3 linked regions of the Tamandua tetradactyla genome follow. The protein of the gene in region 1 purifies or fractionates together with the protein of each later gene. This does not show direct contact. Links are inferred from orthologs where the notes say so. Each region holds a gene or a part of one and is shown on either strand. Other genes may lie near its edges.

Evidence for each region. Proteins that work in one complex are often made in the same cells at the same time.
Region 2: the proteins of MPHOSPH6 (region 1) and EXOSC2 purify together in Homo sapiens (affinity purification with mass spectrometry; 8 studies listed by BioGRID and IntAct, with this or other methods). This does not show direct contact. The link is inferred for Tamandua tetradactyla from reciprocal best matches to the Homo sapiens genes MPHOSPH6 and EXOSC2.
Region 3: the proteins of MPHOSPH6 (region 1) and EXOSC1 purify together in Homo sapiens (affinity purification with mass spectrometry; 5 studies listed by BioGRID and IntAct, counting the BioPlex papers as one, with this or other methods). This does not show direct contact. The link is inferred for Tamandua tetradactyla from reciprocal best matches to the Homo sapiens genes MPHOSPH6 and EXOSC1.

What each region holds. Positions count from the first base shown.
Region 1 is NC_135342.1:76,859,766-76,867,843, reverse strand, and holds the start of MPHOSPH6 (M-phase phosphoprotein 6), read left to right. Parts: upstream 1-5,068; 5' UTR 5,069-5,116; coding exon 5,117-5,167; intron 5,168-5,997; exon of another isoform or gene 5,998-6,495; intron 6,496-8,078. Other genes in the region: uncharacterized protein LOC143659822, read right to left, coding at 4,733-5,068. UniProt on the Homo sapiens protein: RNA-binding protein that associates with the RNA exosome complex. Involved in the 3'-processing of the 7S pre-RNA to the mature 5.8S rRNA and play a role in recruiting the RNA exosome complex to pre-rRNA; this function may include C1D.
Region 2 is NC_135328.1:53,593,196-53,601,029, forward strand, and holds the start of EXOSC2 (exosome complex component RRP4), read left to right. Parts: upstream 1-4,573; 5' UTR 4,574-4,623; coding exon 4,624-4,745; intron 4,746-6,077; coding exon 6,078-6,179; intron 6,180-7,756; coding exon 7,757-7,802; intron 7,803-7,834. UniProt on the Homo sapiens protein: Non-catalytic component of the RNA exosome complex which has 3'->5' exoribonuclease activity and participates in a multitude of cellular RNA processing and degradation events.
Region 3 is NC_135339.1:58,766,243-58,774,075, forward strand, and holds the start of EXOSC1 (exosome complex component CSL4), read right to left. Parts: upstream 3,262-7,833; 5' UTR 3,144-3,261; coding exon 3,065-3,143; exon of another isoform or gene 2,960-3,064; coding exon 2,844-2,959; exon of another isoform or gene 2,001-2,843; intron 1,185-2,000; coding exon 1,110-1,184; intron 1-1,109. Other genes in the region: palmitoyltransferase ZDHHC16, read left to right, coding at 6,815-7,057, 7,252-7,446, 7,594-7,682. UniProt on the Homo sapiens protein: Non-catalytic component of the RNA exosome complex which has 3'->5' exoribonuclease activity and participates in a multitude of cellular RNA processing and degradation events.

The DNA of each region.
Region 1 (8,078 bases):
TGTTCTTTAGGATTGGCAAGAATGGTTTTAGTTGGGGGTTGACAAGTTATACTAGCAATGTCTAACTGAATGGTGCATAAGAGTGACCTCCAGATTGCCTCTCAACTCTATCTGAACCTTCTCAGTCACTGATACCTTATTTGTTATTCTTCTTTTTCCCCTTTTGGCCTGGATGGCATTGTTGATCCCATAGTGTCAGGGCCAGGCTCATCCCTAGGAGTTATCTCCCATCCAACAGGCTGGTCTTGAAAAGACAAAAAAGGGCCATAGCACAGGCACAAGCACTAGGGGATGTAGACCCAGACCTGCCCTATGAATTCGACATAGCCAGCACTGATATTGGCCTTGGGTGGGGTCTGTGGCAGAGGTAACATTCTAAATGAATACCCCTTGGCTTCTGGTCACAATTATGGAAAGAAACAGAACTGAGAAATAGCCCCCTGGAAAAGGAATTGTATGTTGCATAGATTGCCTTATTGTAAGTAGAGGGACTGACACAAAGATATACAGTCACCTTGAAAATGGCCGTCCCCATTCAGGGATGGATAACCGACATGGCTTCTAAGGCATTCTCTGGAAATGCCCAACTGAGCATACTAACCAAATGGAAAGCCTACCTGCTACAGAGTAGCATTTTTACTATGAGTCCTCTGAGTAGTACAAGAAATGTACAGAATTCTCAGACCAGTGTCCTATATAGAAGATTCAACAGCTAAAGTCATGGCACCTGAAATAGCTGTTGAAATGTCCACTACAGAAGGCACCGGTACCATTCCTGAGTCATTGTACCAAACAGGCACACTGATTGGTACACTGATATACTTGTGGACAGTCTCCCACATGGACAATAAGGGCAGTATAACCCAGTATTGACATTAAATAGTGGGAGACTGACACTATGCAGAGCAGTCAATGAGCTGAGTTAAGAACAGTATGGATGGTAATGTAGTGCATGAATCATGCGCTGGTTGAAACTGTTATGTACCCCAGAGAAGCCATGCTCTTCTAATCCAATCTTGTGGGGGCAGAGCTATTGTTGGGTTGGACCTTTTGATTAGGTTGTTTCCTTGGAGATGTGACCCAACCAATTGTAGGTAGGTCCTTTTGATTGGGTTGTTCCCATAGAGATGTGACACAATCAACTGTGGACTGGACTTTTGATGAGGGAGATGTGACCTTACCTATTCAAGGTCTCCAGTAATTAGTTTACTGGAGTCCTTAAAAGAGCTCACCAAGAGAGGTTCAGAGCCAAAATAGAGAGCAGAGGCCAAGACACAGTTGTCTGAAGATGCAGAAGGAGGATGCCCCAGGGGATGCTAGAAGGACCTACAGGACCTGAGGGAGTCATTTGAAACCAGAAGCTGGGAAAAAAGGACAACAGACATCACTACATGCCTTCCCATGTGACAGAGAAACCATGGACGCCATAGGCCTTTCTTCAGAGTCAAGTTATCTTTCTCTGGATGCCTTGGTTTGGATATCTTAAAGGCCTTAGAACTATAAATTGTAACTTAATAAATCCCCTTCATAAAAGCCAATCTACTTCTGGTATATTACATTCTGGCAGCTTTAGCAAACTGAAAGATTTTGGCAAAGAAGTTGGGTGCCAGGAGACATGTTAACTATCTGTACCAACAGCTGGGCTGTTTATAAAGGCCTTACGATCTGGATGGCAACCTGGAAGCAAGACCAATAGACAGTCATAGGTCACCCCTCTGGAGACAAGAATTGTGGAAAGACATCTGGGATGCCTGCCAACAATAAAAGCCAATTACAGCTGCCAATCACATGCCAACAGCTAGTGGACATCACCAGAGAATGCCCACGATGCTCCCTGTGTCAACCAAATAGTTTATCACATCAAATGGGGCACATCAGCCAGTCACAAATCCTGATGATCCTGTGGCAAGTGGATTACATCAATCCCCTTCCACTCTCAGAGAGGGTGAGGTATGCCTTTACCACCATGGACATGACCATAGGACTGTTGATAACTTTCCTGATAGGGAAGGCAAACTAGCAGGCCACTGTCTGATGTTTGGAGAAAGTGAGCACTCTGTATGGTGTGTCTACACAGACAGTGATCAAGTTACCCCTTTCCCTGGACAAACAGCCCCATCTTGGGCCATGGATCAGGACATCATGTGGATGTCCATCTGCCCTACAATCCCACAGGTGCAAGCCTTATTAAAAGAATGAATGTTTCGTTAAAGGAACAGCTAAAAGATGATAAGAAGTCCTTGTAGCAGTGGACTAAAAGGTTCTATAAGGCTTCAACTCACTTGAATGCAATGTAGTGGGTTATCGTACCTGCCCCCATAGAAATGCTAATGGTAGGACACATGCAGGCCCCAAGAATACAAATTAAAGGGCCAGCCATTTTGCAGCTGAAAAGGGGAAATGACAATAATATGTTGTTGCCTGTGCCTCAGACCATACAGACAGGGAAAACAAGATACTTTGGCCTTAGTGCTGGTCTATGCAGCTGCACTGGTTGAGAATCCTAAATCCACATACTGTGGAACAGGAGTCACTGAAAATATTGTAACCTGACCATCATTTATACTAAAAAAAAAAAAAAAAAAATTGCCTGTTAAAATTTTTATCACCAATCTGGGGCCTCCTAGTCCCACGGAAGCTTTACCCATGACTATATGGATCCTTCTTATACGCAGATTAGCAATTAATGTAATGGTAGAGGACTCTCAAGATTTGGAGAGAACAAATATGTGGTATTTAAAACCTCCCCATAGTGTCCTTCTGCCTGGTACCTAATTATCCACCAATGGAACTCTTAGCACATATATTATTACATCAGCAGAAAATACCCCTTATCGTTCCCCATAAACACTTTTCTTTTTATCCATAGTGCCCTAGCAAACGCCTTTCTACAATGGCTTCAGCCGTAACTTATGCCCACAATCAAACCCAATGTTGGGTTTGCACAGATTTGCAATCTTCAGGAGCTACTAGCCTTCCTTGGACTGTGATCCCTGAGAACTGAACTGTGTGAAATACCCTGCTGGCCTGGCAAAATTCAATGCACAGGAAAATCTGGAAGAAAATCTTCTCACTTAAGACTGAAATCCAATTATTGTCCTATGATGAGACTAGGAGTTGCACCTTCTCCCTTGTATGGGAACAGATGAACAAGCCGCAGCCTGTATTGGAGTATGCTGTATTTGGTGGTTTAGGGTGGCTGCCAGCAGAACCTGTAACAGACCATGTTGCCCTGTCTGTATGTAACAACTTGATGGAATTCATAACAAGGGGTGGGTATTGTGTGATTTTACTGTTAAACTACAAAACAATAGTCTTTTTCACTGGCAATATATCACCAACAAACATGCCAGTCTTCCCACTGACAAGATATCTCTAAGCAACATCATCCTTCCCCTAAGAGATGGCTATGGACCGGTGGGCAATATAGTTGGCCCTATTTACTTTGTAAATACATGGGACAGGCCAATGTCCCCGCTACCTTATATGACCTTTTACCCCATACGCCTAGTAATTTGGAAATGGTTAAAGCTAGATATAGAATAAAATGCACTCCCTAGTGGTATTATCCTTTAGCCATTCTTGTACCAAGTGGAGCTGCAATTGTTACTGAAAAAGCACGTGACACCTTTAACAGATCACACTGCCCAAGCACTTAATGATTCCAAAATAGCTATCGCCTTGCTAAATGAAGAAACCACACAACTTAGAAAAGTAGTTTTACAAAATAGAAGGGCCTGAGATATTCTCACTGTAGCACAAGGCGGCACCCGTGCCTTAATTAACGTGCAATGTTGCACATGTATTTCGGATCATTCACACAATATTTCACAAGTTCGGAATCATATGCAAGAGCATAATATTGCTCAATTATCAGTAGACCCCCTGTCTAAATGGTTTACTTCCTTTTCTTGGCCATGGCAGCATCTCTTTGTGGGGTTATCTCTGTATGGGGGACACCTATTCTGTGTCTGTTACACTTTTGCTGTGGAACATGGATGCAATATCTGTGCTGTGGTCAACCTGGTTTGCTGAGTGGGAATGGATTGCGGAGACACAGGGCCCTGCCCCACCTCTTCCATATTGAGAATCAGTGACTACAGGGAGCAGCCTACAATGACCCAGACAGAAGTAAGAGGTCATTAAACCTCCCGGGGAGGTGGTGCAGGGGAGTATAGATGATATCATAAACAAAGGATTAAAACTCCCCTTCCTTGACCACTACTGATGATAAGACTCCAGACCCCTGTGTCACAACCCTGCCGAACTCTGGTCTCAAGCCCTATAGAATGTCTCTGTTTTAAACCCTTATAAGCTGACCCCTTGCACTCCAGGCCCCTTAGGGAGCACAGACTTTCACTTTCCAGACGGCCACCGTGTGGACAGATCTCCTGTTAGTAAATCCCAATAAACCCAAGCCTAACTCTCTGCCAAGGGTGGTCTCTGGTCTTTGGGTTGTGCTGGATTGGGACAGGACATCCTTCTTAGATAACAAAGAGATCACTTAAGCACAAAGACGCAGTTAATAGGTGAATGTAACATGGTTTTTCACCGATTTGTAGCTTGGTGGTTAAGAGTCCTGCTGAACCAGACTGCCTGGATTTACAGGCCCCCTCCTTCATTCTTAATTTGGGCTCATTAAGGAAGTGCCCTATATTTTACACAACTGCAACAAGGCGAGGATGAGAGAACCGCCACGCGGGGCTACTGTGAATACGAACTGAATTATTACGTAAGAAGCCGCGATCCAGATGAGAAGGCAGGTCTGGCAACAATCGCAAATGCTCACTGGAATGCCTGAAGCGGGGCCCCCGAGAGGCACACACTCCACGCGCGCCTGGGGGACCAGGGACGGGAAGCTGGCGGAGAAGGTGGCCATCAGCTCTCGGTCTACTCTGATCTGGGGTCTCTCTACGGGCGCTAAGTCCACTAGAACTCCGCGTCGGCAGCCCACAGCAGCCTCGTCAGCTCCCTCGGGCGCCAAGCCCAGCTGAGGCAGCGGGCCGGGGCCACGGGGCAGGCGATCTAGCGTCACGTATGACGCCACGACGCACGCAGCAGCACGCATGCGCGGCAGGGCTGAAGGCTGGAACGCGGCGCCGGATGGGAGGTTGGCATGGCGGCCGAGCAGAAGAGCAAGTTGTCCAAGAATCTGCTGCGCATGAAGGTGCGGTGGCACGGGCCGGGCTGGGCCGGGCGGGGCGGTGGGGCAGCCGGTCTTCCGGGCCAGGCTGGGGCCGAAGCGGCGGGCGCACAGGGGCACCAGAGAGGGCCCGGAGGGCCTCCAACTTTCGCGTTCATTCTTTCATTTTGAGCCGTCTCCGTATTAGGCATACCGGGTTATGAACTAGGAGCGGGGACACGTACACGAGTGGTTAGAATACAGCGTGCCGGGAGCACTCGTGGTGGAGCGCGGAGCTCTGGGACCTCACCTGGACTCAGCTTCAAAGAAAGCATCTCGCGGAAACTAGCCCTTAGGCTGAGGCTGAAGGATAAGTTGTGGCAGGGGCCATATGGGGAACATAGGAGCGTCAGCTGAGTGAAGGGCGTGTTACAGTCTAAAAAGCTGTTAAAAGAAAAAAAAAAAATAAAACAAGCATGGAGATTTTCAAGAACTGAAAACAATTTAGTATGACTGGAAAGAAAGTAGCAGGAAATGAGGTTGGAAAAGTAGACAGTGGTCACAGGGTGCAGGGCATTTGGGGCCAAACGAAGGATTGTTACCTTTATCTTAAGAGCAGCGAAAAGCTGTCGAGCACCAGGGTCAGTCATTTGCTGTGCATTGTACTTTTATTTACTTTAATGTTAGTTTTGACTCTTCAGTGGAGAATGCTTTGGTGGAAGGAAGGCCGTATCATGAACAAAATTGAAGTCAGTAAGCCAGTTAGAAGTTCTGATGATCCCAGTGAGGGTAGATGATGCCCTGAGTAAGGTGCGAATGGAGAGAACTATTATAGTTGAGGTGCAAGTGAATTGTTATCTCACCGAATTTTAAGAAAAATTGTTTTTGTATTTGAGATTGGAAGCAGTTTAACTCTATAGTTTCGAAGTGAAGAGGAGGTGAGGGGAGACAAGGGTAAATATAATGTATATAGGAATTAAGACAAGGAAAACAGCCAAATCGTAAAACAAAAACTTGTTCTGGGTATTTTGCATGTAGTAACCCATTTAATCCCTGTAATAACTCTGAGTTAACTATGGTTATTATCTTTTTTTTTCAGCTGAAGCAATTGAAACAGAAGTAGCTTGCCAAATACACAGGCTAAGAAGTAGTGCAGACAGGACTCTTAACACAGACAAATTTCGTTCTAGAACCCCACTTCATAATGACTACACTGCCTATTGGTGAACACTACTTATAGAGATATGCAAACTGTTAAATGTTTAGAGGGTCTGGTGGAATTTCTAGCAAAAGGAAAATAAGAAATAAGTAATGTTTAAAAGATCAGAGAGTAAGCATTGTGTGTACAAGATTCAAATGGAGCTGGAGTGAGGGTATGACTAGGGGAGGATGCAACTAGGGATGAATAGGGTGGGTGAGGGTAGAGGGTAAATTGTAGAATTATTTTGTTCTGATGTACTGCTTTCAGGCATATTAGCAAAATTTGAAATTTTAGTGAGTAGAATTTTCTTCTTGTTTAATGGTTTGTAATCATGTAGACTTCAGAGAAGTGACATGCATCCACAGCAGGGGATTGAAAAGATTTTAGCTGTTATTTTCCCTCTTGTAATAAGCCAAATGGATATGTGCTGAGTGATTTTAGGTTCCAGACAGAAAAGCTGATTCTGGAACTAGGAAGGAAGAAATTAACTTTAAAAAACAATTGCCAAAAAAAAAAAAATGCCCACCCTCACCCTAATGATTGGGGTTGGAGACTTAGCTGAATGTTGGAAGCAAATGTGAAACAAAAAAAGAAGAAGGAGAATGAATAAAATGTTCTCAGTTTGGGTTAGCAAGTTCAGTTTATGGTCCGAAGGAATTTACAGGATTAGCAGGAAGGAATTTACAGGATTAGCAGGAGACACTAAACACATGGGAGTGGAATGTCCTGTGAGAATGAATGGAGCAGCTATAGACTTAGGCTACTATATACAGTATAGTTCAGCCAGTGCCAAGTACAGAACAGGAATAAGAGAATTGAAGTTTTAATCCTTGTTTGAACAACAAACAGTGCTTGAAAACTCTAACTCTGTCAGCTATTGCGAGGTGAGGAGAGAGCCTGTTGGGAAGTTGAAAATGAAGGATGTTGTTGGAAGGTCTGTCAGTATGATGATTTGGTTGTAGAGAGGGCTTTTACTTTGTGATTTTAACTGTTTTGCCCTTAAGAATCTACAAACTTCATAGGGGTTGGCCCTTGAAGTACAGCTTGCAGGTTGTACTATCTTTCCTGCAACTACTCAGTTCTGCCATTGTACTGAGAACCATAAGCACATGGCTATATTCCAGTAATGCTTTATTTACAAAAACTGGTGGCTATAGTTTGTGACCCCTGCTGTAGGTCATCTCTAACTTTCAGAGTGTGTTCTCAGATGCTGTAGAGTAGGAAGAATTAAATTGTAACCAAAGTCTGGAGTTTCTTGATTTGTATTTAAGAGTGCTCTATCCTTTCCATATTTTTGAAAGAGAATGAGAAATCCTGTATATTATACCATAAAGAATGCCTACTGACTAAAAACAGAAGATAAAGTGGCAGTTGGCCAGGATTGGTGCATTTCACTGCCTGAAATAAGAGTGATGAAATAATGCTAAAGAAGCATCCAAGAAAAGGAGACTCGTAAAATAAGACAAATCTAGACTGAATAAGAGAAATGGTCTGCTATTCAGAGTCTCAGTCTTTTGGAAAACACAAAAGAATCCTGATGAATGGTATATGAAAATCAGGGAAAGATGCTTGGTCCTAGCAAAAGGACATTTGCTCTGTACCTTGAAGAGTGAATATTTTGCTGCCTATAAATGGCAGCATGATGTTGAATAGCAAAGGTGAAAGGATTTGGAAATAGAAAGTATGCATTCCTGAAGCTGCAAGTTCTTTCAGAGTATGGTATCTTTGGGCTGCAAAACAATTTAAGTAGTTTGC
Region 2 (7,834 bases), on another chromosome or scaffold:
AGTTGGCGCTGACTATTGTCTGAGGCCTTTTCTGGGGCTGTTGACCAGAGCACTTACATAGATCTTTTCTGTATGGCTTCTCACATCATGGCTGCCTCAGGGCAGTCAGACATCTTTGGCAGGGCTCCACAGGCAAGTGTTCCAAGAGAACCAGGTAGAAGTTGCGTAGTCTATCTGACCTAGCTTTGGAAGTCATATAGTGTCACTTCTGACAGGCGCTACCAGTCAAAGCAGTCACAAAACTGCCCAGATGCAGAAGCAGGAGGCATTGATCCAAATTCTTTTTTTTTTTTTTTTAACATTTTTATTATAAAATAAATATACGCAAAGCAAAGAAAGAAAAAGCAACAATTTTCAAAGCACAGTTCAACAAGTAGTTATAGAACAGATCCCAAGGTTTGTCATGGGCTATCATTACACCATCTCAGATTTTCCTTCTAGCTGCTCCAAAACACTGGAGACTAGAAGGAATATTAATACAGTGATTCAACAGTCATAGTCATTTGTTAAATCCTATTTTCTCTGTTATACCTTTTCCTTCTCCTCTGATCTTTCTCCAAATCTATAGTAGTCTTTGGGCAATACCCGTTCTGACTTTTTCATGTTGAGAAGGAGTGTTGACACTAAAGAATAGGGGAACGTAATTAACTGATAATCTTGCAGAAGCTGGTCCCTCTGGATTTCAGGATTTATCTGATTTAGGAACCTTCCAGGAATTATAGGTTCCAGGAAAGCAAACTTCGCACATGAAACCTTTATAGAGTATCAATTTGAGCCCTGGGTGTTCTTAAGAGTCAATAGGAGTGATGGTGGTTGGGGTTTAGCAAACCATGGCAATTAGCAATAGATCCAAATTCTTGACTGAAGAGATGTCTACAAACTCATGGGCATGTTTAACAACCTCCATAAACAATATGGCTGTTTCTATTGTTTTTAGGAGAAGCAATACTGCAGTGAGCCTTTTTGTGCAGAAATCTTTGTGCATATATCTGATTAGAACATTTGTCCTGTTACTGTTATCATTTTAATGGAACACGAGGAGGAAGCCAGTGGGTGGATAAGGATTGTGGCAAGAGCTCTTGCAACAGTCTCCGCTGCCTCTATTTTCACGTTTCCCCATTCGTTTCCTTCACTTGAAGTTCACATGTCTTCTCACCCAGCTTGTCAGGCTCAGCAGTTCCCTCATGTCAAGGCTCACTCACTCTGTCAGGAAGGCTTTTCTGTTCCTTCGCTCCCACCCTCATCTCTGAACTCCTGAGCATGTGGAGAGCTGGGGCAGCAATGATACATCTCTGTAAACCCCACCGTGCCGGGTGCCATGCTTGCTGCACAGTGGGTGCTTGGCAGGTGTTTGCTGAATAAGTTCATTTGTTCATTCAACAAATATTTATTGAGGGTCTTCTTTGTGTCAAGTATATAGTTCTTGGGGCTGAGGATACAGCGATGAACAAAGCAGACAAAGTCTGGGCATTTGTGGAGCTCACATCCTGTTTGTGTGTCGGGGGCGGTGCACAGATGATAAGCAAACAAACAGGGAAATGTATATTTTGTAAATGTATCATTTTTATCAACAAATATTTTATGGGTGCCTTCTGTTTGCCTGACATGGTTCCAAGTGTTCATATAAGTTGTCCAAAACAGATAAAGTCTTGTTCTTAGAGCACGTGTGCTCTAGGGGAGGCCCTCACAGCAAACAACCAAAGAAATAAACAGGAAAACTCAACGACCAAGAAATAAAACAGCTCAAATGATTAAAAAAGAAAGGACCAGAGGGCTATTCCAGATAAAGTGGTCAGGGAAGGCTTCTTTGAGGGGGTGCTGTTTGAGCTGAGATCTGATTGAGGAGAAGGAGCCAACCACACAAAGACCTGGGAGAAGAGGAGAATTCTGTGCAGAGAGTTAAAAATGTACTGATACTGGGGTGTGTGGAATAGAGAGGAGGCCCAGTGCAGCCAGCTTCATCGTAGCCAGTAAAGGGAGTGGATTAGATGGCGAGTGAGATCCAAGCCAGGCAGGAGCCAGGTCCTACAGAGCCTCAGTGCTCCCCAGTGATGAATCTGAATTTTATTTTTAGTCTACAAGGAAGCTGCCAGAAGTGTTTCAGCCTGGAAATGATTTAATCAGATCTCTGTTTTAAAAAGATCACTCTGGCTACTGTATGGAGAACGGACCATAGGGGAGGTGAGGCCAGGTAAATATAGAATTAGGGAGGCAACTGAGGGGGTTATTACAGTCACTCAAGTGAGAGGTAATATCGATTAGTCTGGGGCTGTGGCCGTGAAGCTGCACAGATGGGGAGGTAGATGGACATTGGGGGAAATTGGCGAATGTTAAATCTGATCAACTATAAATCACTCAGGGAGTTAAAATACACCCTCACAAGGGGTACACGGATAGTTCAGTGTCAGAATGCCCACCTTTCATGCGGGAGAACCGGGTTCGATTCCTAGACCATGCACCCCAAAATACAAACAAACAAAAAATCTTTGCAAAAAAACCACCCTCACAGACTTGTGGACCCTACCCTTGAAGAGCCTCGATGCCTGAATCTGGGTCCAGGAATCTGTATCTTTATCACATCCCTCAGGGGTGTGCAACAAAGTTTCTGGGTACTCATCTCTCTACATGGTAGGAAAGAAGCAAGTATAAAACACCTAGCAAAGGACCAGGCCATTGGGAAGTGTTTGATAAATGCAAGCTCTACCTCAGTGGCCTGCCACCATTTGCTGTGCGAATTCTAGTCATTTCAGTTTCCTCACCAATAAAAAAGGTATCCATAATTCCAATGTTGTGACAAGCTTGACCAACTGCAAATACTGTGAGAATGGGAGGGGTTTAGGGTATGTCCTTCCTTCCTGGAATGAAACAGGATGATGTAAGTACTTTAACTCACTCCTTGGTTGCCAGCATTGTGGAGGGATGGGAGGGCTTGTCTCCTCACTGCCTGGGCTGTGCTGGCTCACAGGGCACCACTGCCACCATATGGCCATGGTGAGACTCAACAGATGGGTCATTTTTATTTTTATTAACACTTTTTATTTATTTATTTATATCAGAATTTATTCAGGTATAATCTAATTACTTTTATTTTTTATTTTTTTAAATTTTTATTGATAAAACAACGTACAAGCACATGAATTCTTAATGTACAAACATTTCATACATGGTGTACAATCAGTGGCTCACAATATCATCACATAGTTGTATATTCATCACCATGATCATTTTTAGAACATTTGCATCACTCCAGAAAAAGAAATAAAAAGAAAAAAGAAAACTCATACACATCATACCCCTTACCCTTCCATCTCATTGACCACTAGTATTTCCATCTACCCATTTTATTTTTTAATTTTGACATTTGTTCCCCCTATTATATATTTTTAATGCATATATTTTACTTATACCAGATGGGTTATTTTTGCACTCTCTTCCTCTCTAGTGCCTTCCTCAAGGCAGAGAGAAGGGTGAGGGTCAGGTCTGCCTACTTGCCAGATGACCAGTGGATCACTCAAATTTGTATCAGGTTGCCTCACAGGCCTGGCTTTCTTTACAAGTGTAGTTCTGAGCATTGCTTGGGTGAAAGAAGTGCTATCCTTTCAGCGATTTATAAAACAATTGGTCTGACTGATCTTTAGGAGGCAGCCGGCCTGATTTACTGAGCACAACTGTGTATGTATGAAAAATTGTCATCTCCAGTTCCCTAAGGATGAGACTGTTTGCTGTAAATGCTATAAACCATCCAGGGCAAGTCAGGGACAGGGAAGTGAAACCCAGGAGAAGACACCAGGGAGAGGCTCCTACAGGACCTGGAGGTAAAGCCACAAACACCTCGGTTCTCACTCAATCCTTAGAACAGTTGGGCACACAGTGCTCGATTTGCTGTATGAAAAAATGCAAGTGATTTTCTTTTTGTACTGTGTGTGCATTTGTTCTCCTTGCCAGATATGCCTGCCTTGCAAAGTTTTCTTGGATAGCTTTTTTCTTTTTCAAAATCATCTCCTCTCACTCAAAATAAATTATTATGAAAGGACAGAACCAGCATGGACCTGGAGCTCTGTTTCCGGATATAGAAGACGGTCGGTATTGAACCAGCATGCATCCGGCGGTGGTGATGCAGAATACTGGAGTTAGTAGGAAAGGTGTGAAAAGGGGCTCTTCTTTCTATGTAAAGAAATGTTTTCTGTTGATCCCACCTTCCCATCCTCCTGATTTCGCTCGCTTGTACACTCTCCCTCTCTTTCACTCGCACACTGAGACACATAAAGGCTTAGAGTTGAAAGGAAACTCAGAGGTCCATTTTTCCAAATACTTCCAATCCTCGTAAGCAATAAATAGGATGATGAGTATGAGACAGTTTTGGTAAAATGTCAGGCGTCACGCAAAGTGAGATTTTTATACTGTCATTTCACGGGGGGAAGCCTTGACAATATAACAAATACGACAACTTGGCTGCGGCTTTCCCCTAAAGTTAACCCAGCGGCTGCCAATAGCCAACATGGCCGCCCGCCCGCGGGATCCCATTGGTGGATGCCCCGAGGCCCCGCCCCGCGCTGTTCCTCCGCCCCTGGAGCTAGGGAACTGCGGCGCCGGATATCGCGGCTTCTGGTACTTGGCGCCAATATGGCGCTGGAAATGAGGCTTCCTGTTCCTCGTAAACCTCTTAGCGAGAATCTGGGCCGCGAGACTAAGAAACACCTGGTGGTGCCGGGGGACACGATCACTACGGACACGGGCTTCATGCGGTAAGTGGGGACGCGGGGGCCTTGGGCCCCAGCAAGCAGCTCCAGGGCTCTCTGCACGTGGCCTGATGGGCCGAAACCTGGGCCTCTGTCCGGTGCGTCTAAGTCTCCCGGAACCCAGGGCACAACTTCAGCGCATCCCATTCGCCAGTTTTCCAAGGCCTCTGGCTTGGGATCCCCTGCATCTTTTGTGTCCCCTTCGGCACCTGTCTCAGACTCCCGAAACCCTCCTCTCCTGACTTCTGGTACCCGTGACGCCCGTGTCCTCTGCCTGAGGCCAGGTCTCTGAGCTTTCTTCGTTGGAGTCCTGAAAAACCGAGGAGGGTTAGGAGCAGGGGCCTCTTTCCGGTTTTCAGCTGTTTGAGGGAACAGGGGGCTTTCCTGATTTGGCCTCTTTCTCACTTAGGTTCATCTCGGGGCCAGAGGTTCAGTTTTGGAGTCAGTAATTGTTTGGGCTTAGAGCAAACAAAATACACGAACTTTGAGTCTAAGGGCAGTTTAATGGGTTCTAGTTAAGGAGCAGATTCCCGAGGCAGTTCGGGTTCCAGTCCTCTCCCTATTCTTAGCGGAAAGATCAGTTTACTTTTCTGTAAAATAGTAACAACAGTAACTATCTGATGGGGTAGTGAGGATCCAATGATATAATGTAAAGAAAGGAGTCAGAAACCACCATTATCCCACCACTACCACAGATAATATAAACCTTTTAGTGATGCTTCAGCCATTTAAAAATTTGGTACACATGTGCTATTACATACGTGAGAACTACGGCTTTTACAGCATTGTCCTTTAACCTTTTAGTGTGATGTTTTAGGATCCTAGGAAATCTAAAGATTCATTCCTTCATTCATGCATTCAGCATATATTATGTGTGGTTTGTATACAACAGTGAACAAAATGAAAACCTCTGTCCTGGTGGAGTTTATATTCTAACAGGGAGAGTCAGATAATAAACAATAAGCAAAACAAAGAAATTGTGCAGAATGTTTGGTGATCATTTCAGGGGAAAAAATAAAAAGTTGAGCAGAGTAAGTGGAATGGGATTGGGAGTCTGGTGAGGGTGGTGGGATCAGGATGGTTTGCAATTTTAAATGGGACACATAAGGTAGGCCTGATGAGGAAAGTGACATTTGAGCAAACTTGAAGAAGATGAGGGAGATGTCCGTGTAGCTGTCTGGAGGAGGAATATTCCAGGTTCCCGGCTGGGAGAGCAGCCAGTGCAAAAGCCAGGCTTTAATGTGGGAGGAGCCTTTTTGGTTTGAAGAACACGTTTTTGAGGGGAGAGGTCGTCTCAGATGTTACCCTGGTATCCTATATATCTGTGTCTTGCCACAGGGGTCATGGAACTTATATGGGGGAAGAGAAGCTCATAGCATCTGTGGCTGGTTCTGTAGAGAGAGTTAACAAGTTGATCTGTGTGAAAGCTTTGAAAACCAGGTGAGAACAAAAGGTGTGTATTCTCTTTCTTACTGCATCCATGTTGCATGACCAGATTTCCCCCCTCTACCTGCCCCCATCTGTCCGATCATTCTGGGGGATCTGAAGCTTTCCACATGACTATAGGAATGGTGGTAAAGGTAAATGTGGGCTGCAAAGGTTTCCCCACATTACTTAACTTCTCCAAGCTTTGGTTACTTCCTCTGCAAGATGAGGAGAATAGTATCATCTACCTTGTACAAATTTCATCAGAATCTAGTGAAATGATGCACTTAGCCCTGTGCTAAGTGCCTAGAAGGGCTCGGTAAATGTTGGTCCTAGAAGGATGTCAGTGGGGTTAGAATAGAGTGAGCAGAGGGGGAGAGAAAGAACAGATACAGACACAGAGCTGAGGTGGGTGGATAATCTGGCCTGCCTTGAAGGCCTTTGTGAGCATTTTGGCTTCTACTTTGTGAAATCTGGGAAGCCACTGGAGAGAATGAAGCAGAAGAAGGACACAATCTGTGGTTGGTTTTTTTTTTAATTTTTTAACTGTTTTAGTAAAATCACTGACTGCTGTGGGAATCGGGGCAGACATAGGGAAATGGATTAGAGGACTGCTTTGCAGTCCAAAGTGCTGATACAGTGGAAGTAGGGGTATTTGATTCTGCATATATTTTGGAGGTAGAGCTGGCAGGATTTACTGCTGGGCTACTCATGCAATTTGAGAATTAGGGAATAATCAAGGCTGACTCTCCAAATTTTAGCCTGAGCACCTGGGGGATGGAGTTGCCATTTACTGAACTGGGGACAGCTGGGAGAGGTGCACGTTTCTGGGAGTGGAAGGGAGTGGCATGAAGCTTATTTTTGGGCTTGTTACATTGGGAGTGCCTATTCATAATCTAAATGGGGTTGTTGGGTAGGTAGCCGTTAAATAGTTTGGGCTTGTTACATTTGGGAGTGCCTATTCATAATCTAAATGGGGTTGTTGGTTAGGTAGCAGTTAAATAGAACCTGGAGTTCAGGGTAATGATACAGTTATCAATGGTGTCTAAAGCCATTAGATTGAGTGGACACACTGAGAGATGAGTGGTTAACTGAAAAGAGATGAGGTCCAAGTCTGAGCTTTCAGTACTGGAACACTTCATAGTTAGAATTAAAGCGATGAAGTACTTGCAAAGGGACCTGAGATGGAGCAGCCAGTAGCTTCCCTCCCAGGGGGAGACAGCGAGGAGACCTATTTGGGGGGCATTCTGTCTCAGAATCTCATTTCTCCTCTTTTGACTGGTACTAAACCCATCTTTGTTCCAGAGCCCACAGGAAAATTTTCTGTGTTTTTTATTGTCATGTAATCTAACAGAATAGGGATTTCAGGCTGAATGAACTATTTGCAGAAAGTGATTTAAGAATAATTAACAAGATTTTATATATATAGGAGTTTGAAATTATCAATTCCTGAAAGTAAGTCTGAACGGCATAGTTATGTGAATTTGCTAAATGTGATGCCTAATTAAGGCCTTGTCCTTATTTGAAATCTCAGATGGTGCTTGGTCATGTTAGAAATTTGTTTGCTAATGACCTCTTATTTTATCTTTTAGATACAATGGTGAAGTGGGAGACATTGTAGTGGGGAGAATCACAGAGGTAAAGTTTATATTAAATTGGTTGTTAAAAGT
Region 3 (7,833 bases), on another chromosome or scaffold:
CTCTGGGGGTGACTCTTCATCATAATTATAAGTAGGCTTAGCTTCTCTTTTGCAGGAATAAATTTCACAGGGGTAAATCCCAAGACTGAGGGCTCAGCCTATTGAATTATTTGTCCCCACTGCCTGTAAGAATATCAGGTATTCTCCAGATGGGGAAGTTGAATATTTCCTTCTTTTTCCCCAGCCCCTGCAAGAAGATTTTGCAAATACTTTTTTATTTTCTGCCCAAATTACTCTGGAATATAACGAGGCATTCCATTAACCTGTACAAACCAACAAGATCTCATGCCCTATTCAAGAGTCCATGTAGTTATGGTGTTCAAATAAACTGACCATACAAGTTAAATTAGGTAAGCTGTGTGATATATATACATATATATTTTGGGTACATGGTACAGGATTTGAACCCAGGTCTCCCACATGAAAGGTGAGCATTCTACCACTGAACCAACCATGCACCCACTGCATGATATTTTAATCACTGTTTCTCCAGTTATTTTCAGAGCAACATTTAAATTTGCTGCTGGAGCAACTGATAAAGAGAAGAACTAAAAGGTACAAGTTAATTTTCCCTGGCAGAGTATGGGGATGGGCATAGAATATTACATGTACAGCATTAATTTGTACTTCTGAAATACCCTAAAAGACTTTAAATTTACAGACATGCTAGAAAATAGACTAGCCCTTTGTTTCTCTGCAGAAAAAGGTCTCACTTTCAGATGTTCAAAAATAGGCCTCCCTATACCTATGGCACTCCTGTTTCCCCGACACAGGTACTACATGCTCAGGGAACTGGCACAATGAAATAACTACAAATGCTTGAAACTGGCTATCTTGGTCATTATCCTAGAACCCTGTAGATAGCAAAAAATTCAATAAAACATTCTGTGATGACAGAAATGTTCCGTACTGACCAATATAGCAGCCACTAGTTCATGTGGCTTGTGCAACTGAGGAACAAAATTTTAAATTTTATTTAATTTTAATTTATTTAAACTTAAATACCCATATATAGCTAATGGCTACCATATCAGTCAGCACAGATCTAGAATGATCATGATTTCAGCACTGGACAGGTATCATAAACAAGGAGATAAAGACCAACTTACCTTACAGGTTACAACAGCCCCCACATCTGGCAGTAATTGAGACTCTGTCTCTCTCACCACAGACACCACAGGAAGCTACAAAAAGAGCAATTAAAAAACGGTATACCGACTAAGCCTTGGATAAAAGTATTCATGGCTTAAAGTAATAAAGAAATGCCTTGGTCCAGAGAGGTTAAAAGGGCAAATGAACTATGGATTTTTTTTTAGCCCATAGCAGAGTATCTGAGAAATAACAGGAGGACCAAGAGGCCATGGGAAGAATAATGCCAGAAGACATAATTTAACTATTTCAGAGAAGTTTTAATATGTTTTGGTGATATTCTTGAAATTTAGTTCTACAACCATATTGCCTACAATTGCTGATAACTTGCCTCGTTTTTCCAAAGTTATACCAAGTCTTAATGTAGTTTATTGCACAAGGCTAAATTTCCAAAACAATGTTTTCTAATAGTAGCCATACTTGTTTTCTTCTATGTTAAGAAATTACTTATAGAATTTTTTCTTTGAGCCTGGTATTGGCTGTTGCTGTAAGATAGATATTTTTGAGCCTCATCTTTAATCATTCTCTTCTTTGCCAACTATGCTTCAGCTCTCCTGACCTTCTTTTAATTTTCCCAACTCACTGAATTTCCTCCCATCTCAGGATCTCTATTTAACCTGCTCCTTCTGCCAGGAATGCACTCTCCCCACCTACCCAACCCTTATTCTTCAGCTTAAATGTCGCTTCTGCTGACTAGGGTGGCTTTCCTGTTACATGTTCTCACGGTGCCACGTAATGTTCATTTGTGCATTTAGTTCTTTATGATTTGTTTCTCTACCCCTTGCCAGCAGAGACCATGTGTATTTAGTTCATTATTACATCATCAGAGGTCAGCACAGCACCTGGAATATGAAAACGTTCAACAGACATCTACAGAATGAACTTAGGAACGTTAAGAACAGCCTCCCAATTGAAAATGAATAAAAAATTTCTCATTTTACAGATAAGAAAGAACCTAAAGCCAGTGAGTTTAAGTTTCTTACTCAAGGCGGAATCAAAGTCTAGTTAAGTGTTCTAATTCTGAATTCTTTCTACCGTGGCACCTGCCTTTAAGTTGTTCCTTCAAAGACTGCTAATCCTGGATCAGTCTCTGGAACTAGGGAGGACAGTATTACTCACTCAATAAATATTTAATGAGCGTCTATCGTGTGCTAGGTGCTGAGTGTACAACAATGAGGCCTGCTTTCATGGAACTTAAGAGTCTAATGGGAAACACATAAGTGAGTGTTTAATTAATCGCTGAGATGAATGCTTGGAAGTAAAGTTCTCTGAGAATGTTTAGCAACACAAACAAAAAACAAACACCAAAAACGCCTTTCCTCAACTATTGGATCGGGAGGGTTTTTATGAGAAAGTGATGCTATCTGAAGGATAAGCAGATATTAAGTAGACCAAGAGGTAGAGGAGAGTGTTCCAGACAGATGCGAATGTAAGAAGGCTCTGTGGCAAGTTAAGAGTACAGCGCATTAGCGACAATGAAAGAAGCTGGTGTGTCTGGATTGCGGCGAGGTGAAGAGTGGAGGGAAATGAAGCAGCGGGGATTACAGATGGAAGAAAATCAGAGACTAACTCTCAAACGTTTTACTGGCCAGGCACTAAACAGGTGTTCGCAGCGCCCCTGCCTAAGCGCATGAAAATCAAGAGAAGCCCAAGGAAAAGAAGGAGACAGAAGAGATGGGAAGCGGAGCCTTTACCGCGCCGTTTTCGCTGCTCTTCGTCATGCAGCCGGCAAGGGAGGAGAAAATGTAGCCGTGACGGGTGTAGGTGCCGCTGCCCGGGCTTCCTTCCTCCAAATTGCACAGCCGTTCGCCTGCAGATAAAACACTGCATCAATTTCGGGGCCCCCAAATGTGCTGGCCGTCCAGCATCCTTGCCTCTGTCCCCATTCAGGACTTTGCGGGCACTGCTCGCTTACCAGGGACGCAGTACCTCACGGGCGGCGCCATGACTAACCCCTTCCGAAAGCCCGGATGAAAATGAGGCCAACTCCTCATTGGACTGGCCGAGGTGCAGTGCCGCAGTAACAAGCGCGTCAATTGGAGAGCTTCATCGGGCGCTCTCTGGAAGCGACTCCTCGAGGGTTAACTCCATTTCCCAGCCTGCCCCGGGACAAGTAGGGCCGAAACTCCCGGGATTTTGCGCTTGCGCTTGTGGTTCAGGATGGGCTGGCGGTGGGTCTGGGTCCTCTGGCTGGCTCTGCGCGTGGCGGGCCATGGTGGGTCGTGCTGAGCCGGGCTCGGCCGGGGTGCCGAGCTGGAGGGTGTGGTAGTAAGTGGTGGCGAAAGCTGCAGGACTCGATTTCGCTGATTGGGCAGCTGGCAGGTAAGAGCAAAGCCGCAGTCCTTGCTCCCTACTTCAGTCCTTTTTCTAGGGTCGGGCCCTATCCCGGGATAGTTCTCCATCTACGTAAGCCCGGGTTCGTGCTCTTTCGCCACGCTCTGTGTGCAGGCCATTCCGGGCGGAACAGGACCAGGTCCTTGACCAATCCAACGCACCCATTTCACGGATTTGGAAACTAATCCGGAAAAGGATTTGATTTGTGCAGTCTCGAAGATAGTTCAAGGTAGAGTTCAAACTGGAACCCACGTTTTTGTTTTGCTTTGTTTTGATTTACTTCCAGTTCATCGGGCTTTGACCACGAGCCCTCTTTGAGAAGTAAAACCTTTTCCCTGTTTGTGAAACTGCAGCTTCAGATCCTGCAGTAGGATTCCCTCAAGAGGAGCTGTAGTCATTTGAGTCCGTCCTTAGCTTTTGATGAGCATCCCCATGATAAAGTTGCTACTTTTCCCTCTTTGCATCGTGTTAGCCCGTAAAGGAAATCTTGTACATGAATAAAATGCTGTTTTACTGATGCTCACTATGTGCTGCTTGAGATCGCAGTCCTCATGAGAGCAGTATTTGTCCAGAAGAGGTTTGCCACGACTTTCATCTCAGTTTCCTTTGCCTCCTTGTGGTGTTGCAATCTGTTTCTTCTTATCTCCCACCCCTACCCCTCTCCCCCACGTAAATGGTGACTTAGAGCCTTAGAAAAAGAAACCCGGAGTGATGAGTGGCCTGCAGTCCCCTCTAATCGGATGGCAAATCCCACTATAGCCTGTGGCTACTACCGAGGGATCAGAGTGTTCAGGGCTTTGTGCTTGGAGGTGATAGTGAAACGACAGTGTTCTCTTTCTTTTCCCACATTCACTCGGAGATCACCACCCCTTACCCCAGCTTTTGAGTGCCCCCTTACCTCAATTTCCTGAGATGAAAATGCCGTATGTTCAGTTATGTCCCATGAACTGCATCTCTCTTCCATGTCATCCCCATCCCCTCTATATCCTACTAGCTAAAGTAAGGGGGTAGGGGGCTAGCTTCAGACCTTATTTACCCAAACCTGATCTGTAGCTATGCATCTACAAACTTTCTATTTACATATTTGAGTTTATTTCAGTTGGACTTATTTTTAAAAATGCCTTCTAGGTCTTAAGTACTATGATTCTAATAACGGTTTCTGTTTCTGTCTTTGATCAGAAAGAATGATAGTGGCAGACACTCAATGTTGTCACGTTGGTAGGAGTGTCTTTGCTGGTATTTGTAGGTCAGATAGGCATGTGATCAGCCTTTCTACTTCTGTATCCCATAACCAGGTGTTCTAGGTCATTCATTCATTCACCAAGTATTTATTGAGCACTTCCATGAGATAGGTATTGTGCTAACCACTTTCATTTCATTTATACCTTACCATATATATATCCAGACTAGGTTAGATATGGAAGGGACTTTAGCATTTAGTCCTACTTTCTCGTTGTGTGCGAACAGAAGGACATTGAGTCCCAGCAAGGATCAGTGATTTGCCCAAGGTCACAAGTGATGCTTAGGGGCAGAGGTGAACCCGGTAAAGAATGAATCTGATTTGCAAGCTACTGCTATAAAAAGTATTTTAGCAAATAGAAAACTCTCCATTAGCCATAGTTAGGGAATAAACAATGGTGTGGACAATCCAAAAGTCACCAGAAATTGTTGTGGGGTAGTCTGTTTACTCTCACTGTTGTATTTGATTGTGGCTGTTATTTTGAAAATTCATTCTTTAAGCGAAATCATGGTTCCAAACAATGGTAGTTCAACTGAATGAAGGTAGGAAAGTTGAGCTTTTCCTTTTTCTCTTTTCTATATGCCATCCCACATGCCTTAATACTCTTAGCTTCCTAGGAGGTAATGGGAATGGCCAGTTTCTTTATCCTGGTGCAGTGTGGGTCCCTATTCAAATGTCTTTCTTCACTTGCTCCGTAGGCCTAGTTTGTTGAGGTTTTTTTGTTTGTTTTTGTTTTTTGCCTTAGGTAGTTGCAGGGCTTGTGGATAGAGGTAATGAAATGTTCTCTTTGAAGGACCTTTTGTGGGGATGAGCCAGGGTTCAAGGAAAATATAGTGCTCCAGTTACTGAATTGAAACCATCCCTAGAGTGGAGCAGCCTCCTCCAATTTCTGCTGGGTTTTTAGCTGCCTGTTAAATAAGTCAGTGCAGTTGCTAAGGACAAACAAAGCAGCCTTCCAAGGCCACCCTAGGAGAAAGTTTCTTTTCTGGTAAAGAACTTCTAATCTGCAGAATTGATGAGACTGTCATTTTAAGAACCTGCCAGAGCACTGTGTTCTATTCTGGGGATCGGCTGGGCAGCCAACCCTTTTTCCATTGCTGTTGAATGAGTTAGAAACAACGTAAAGGAGATGGAAAGCACTTGTAGAGCAGCTGTGGAAAGTGCTAAAGAGCTGGGAAGGCTGGGGACAAGTTTGAAGCCAAGGGCAGCAGCTATAGAGAAGGCTTTTGTGTCCAACTTGAACAAGGCAGAGGAGACTTATCACTCAGAGGGCAGGCTCTGTGATTGTCCTGAGCTGCCAACATGGGGGCCCCTTCTAAGTACCAGTGTTTCCTGCCTCTAGTGCTATTCTGCCCTAAATACCTGAAGTTGTCTTCCCTTCTGTATCCTTGTAGTGGTTCTGGGACTAGAATTGAAGACAAGGCATCTTATATCATGCAAGGGATGGCTGAGCTGAAGTGACAGGCAGACAGAGAATCTCATGCTGTTAGGCTGAGTTGGCTGGCCTGAGGGAATGGGAAGGAGTACCTTTGTCAGGACCCACGGCATCAGGGAAGATCTAGGTGTAGGATCCCTTTGCCATGTGCTCACTCCCCGACTTAGAGGAGCTTGCTGTTCCTTGGTGAAGAACAACCTTTAGCAGGTAGGTTGATGAGTCAGGTTAGCCTGTTAGACCCTGGGCTGCCTGTTATAATGGCCAGGCCCACAGAAACACATGGATATTTTTGTACACACTCCACCCACTGGTCTGTCTACATAGATCATTCCAAGGATCCTGCTTTACCTTGGAGCTGCCTACCTGTCCTTCACCCCTTTGCTGTGGTCCTTTACCCTAGATGTTCATTACCTTGGATTTCTGTGCACCCAAGTGGTGGAATGTAAATGGAATTTCTAGACTCATAACCTCCAGTTCCTATTTCATGTAATCTGTTGGGGACATTGGCATTGTACATTCACCTGGTCACTGGCCTAGCTGGGCTCGATATTAGGTCTTTGCCCTCTTAAACTGGTACTCTGGATTCCCCACTGGCAAGGATAGGGAAGGAGAGGAACCAGACTTGATACTCACAATAGTGTGTTTTCCTAGAAGTCATGCGGAGCCAGAGGAGCCTGCTGCTAGGCCCAGCCCGTCTCTGCTTGCGCCTGCTTCTGCTCCTGGGCTATAGGCGCCGCTGCCCACCTCTGTTGCGGGGTCTGGTGCAGCGCTGGCGCTATGGCAAGGTCTGCCTGCGCTCCCTGCTCTACAACTCCTTTGGGGGCAGCGACACTGCTATCGATGCTGCCTTTGAGCCCATCTACTGGCTGGTGGACAACGTGATCCGCTGGTTTGGGGTGGTGAGTGATGCCCAGGGAGCAGGAAAAGGGATGTTTTGGGATAGGAAAGGGATATGTCTCTGATGGACCTCCACTAGGTTTTGGAAGCCAGCTCCCTACCCTTCAGGATATTCCTGAGTCTCTGCTGGGTGTTGGCAAGGCTCCTTTACTGGTTCTACCTGACCCACATCTTCAGACTTCCTTGGTATTGGCAGGTGTTCGTGGTGCTGGTGATCATATTGACCAGTTCCATTGTGGCCATCGCCTACCTATGTGTCCTTCCCCTCATTCTCCAAACCTACTCAGTGCCACGACTCTGCTGGCATTTCTTCTATAGTCACTGGAATCTGGTGCTGATTGTCTTCCATTACTACCAGGCCATCACCACTCCACCTGGATACCCACCCCAGGTCAGTTCCCATAAGGGCATGGGGGGAGGGGGACTTGCAGACTATGGGAACCAGTCCTAGAAGTGGGGAGGGAAAGTACTTTGGTATCTTGCAAGGTGTAAAGTTGTTGTTGCCACAGCTTCATGATGCTTTTCTTCCTTTGCCCAGGGTAGGAATGATATCGCAGCTGTCTCCATCTGTAAAAAGTGCATTTACTCCAAGCCAGCCCGAACACACCACTGCAGCATCTGCAATAGGTGGGTGTTGGCTTTACCCCATGGGGACCATCACTGTGGCCCTTCAGCTTTAGTTCCAGAGCAAAACCTAGACCTGGAATTTATTAAGACACTTACGAAGCACATGTCATGACCAGGCTCTCTGCATTCTATTATCTCATAGCACATATTC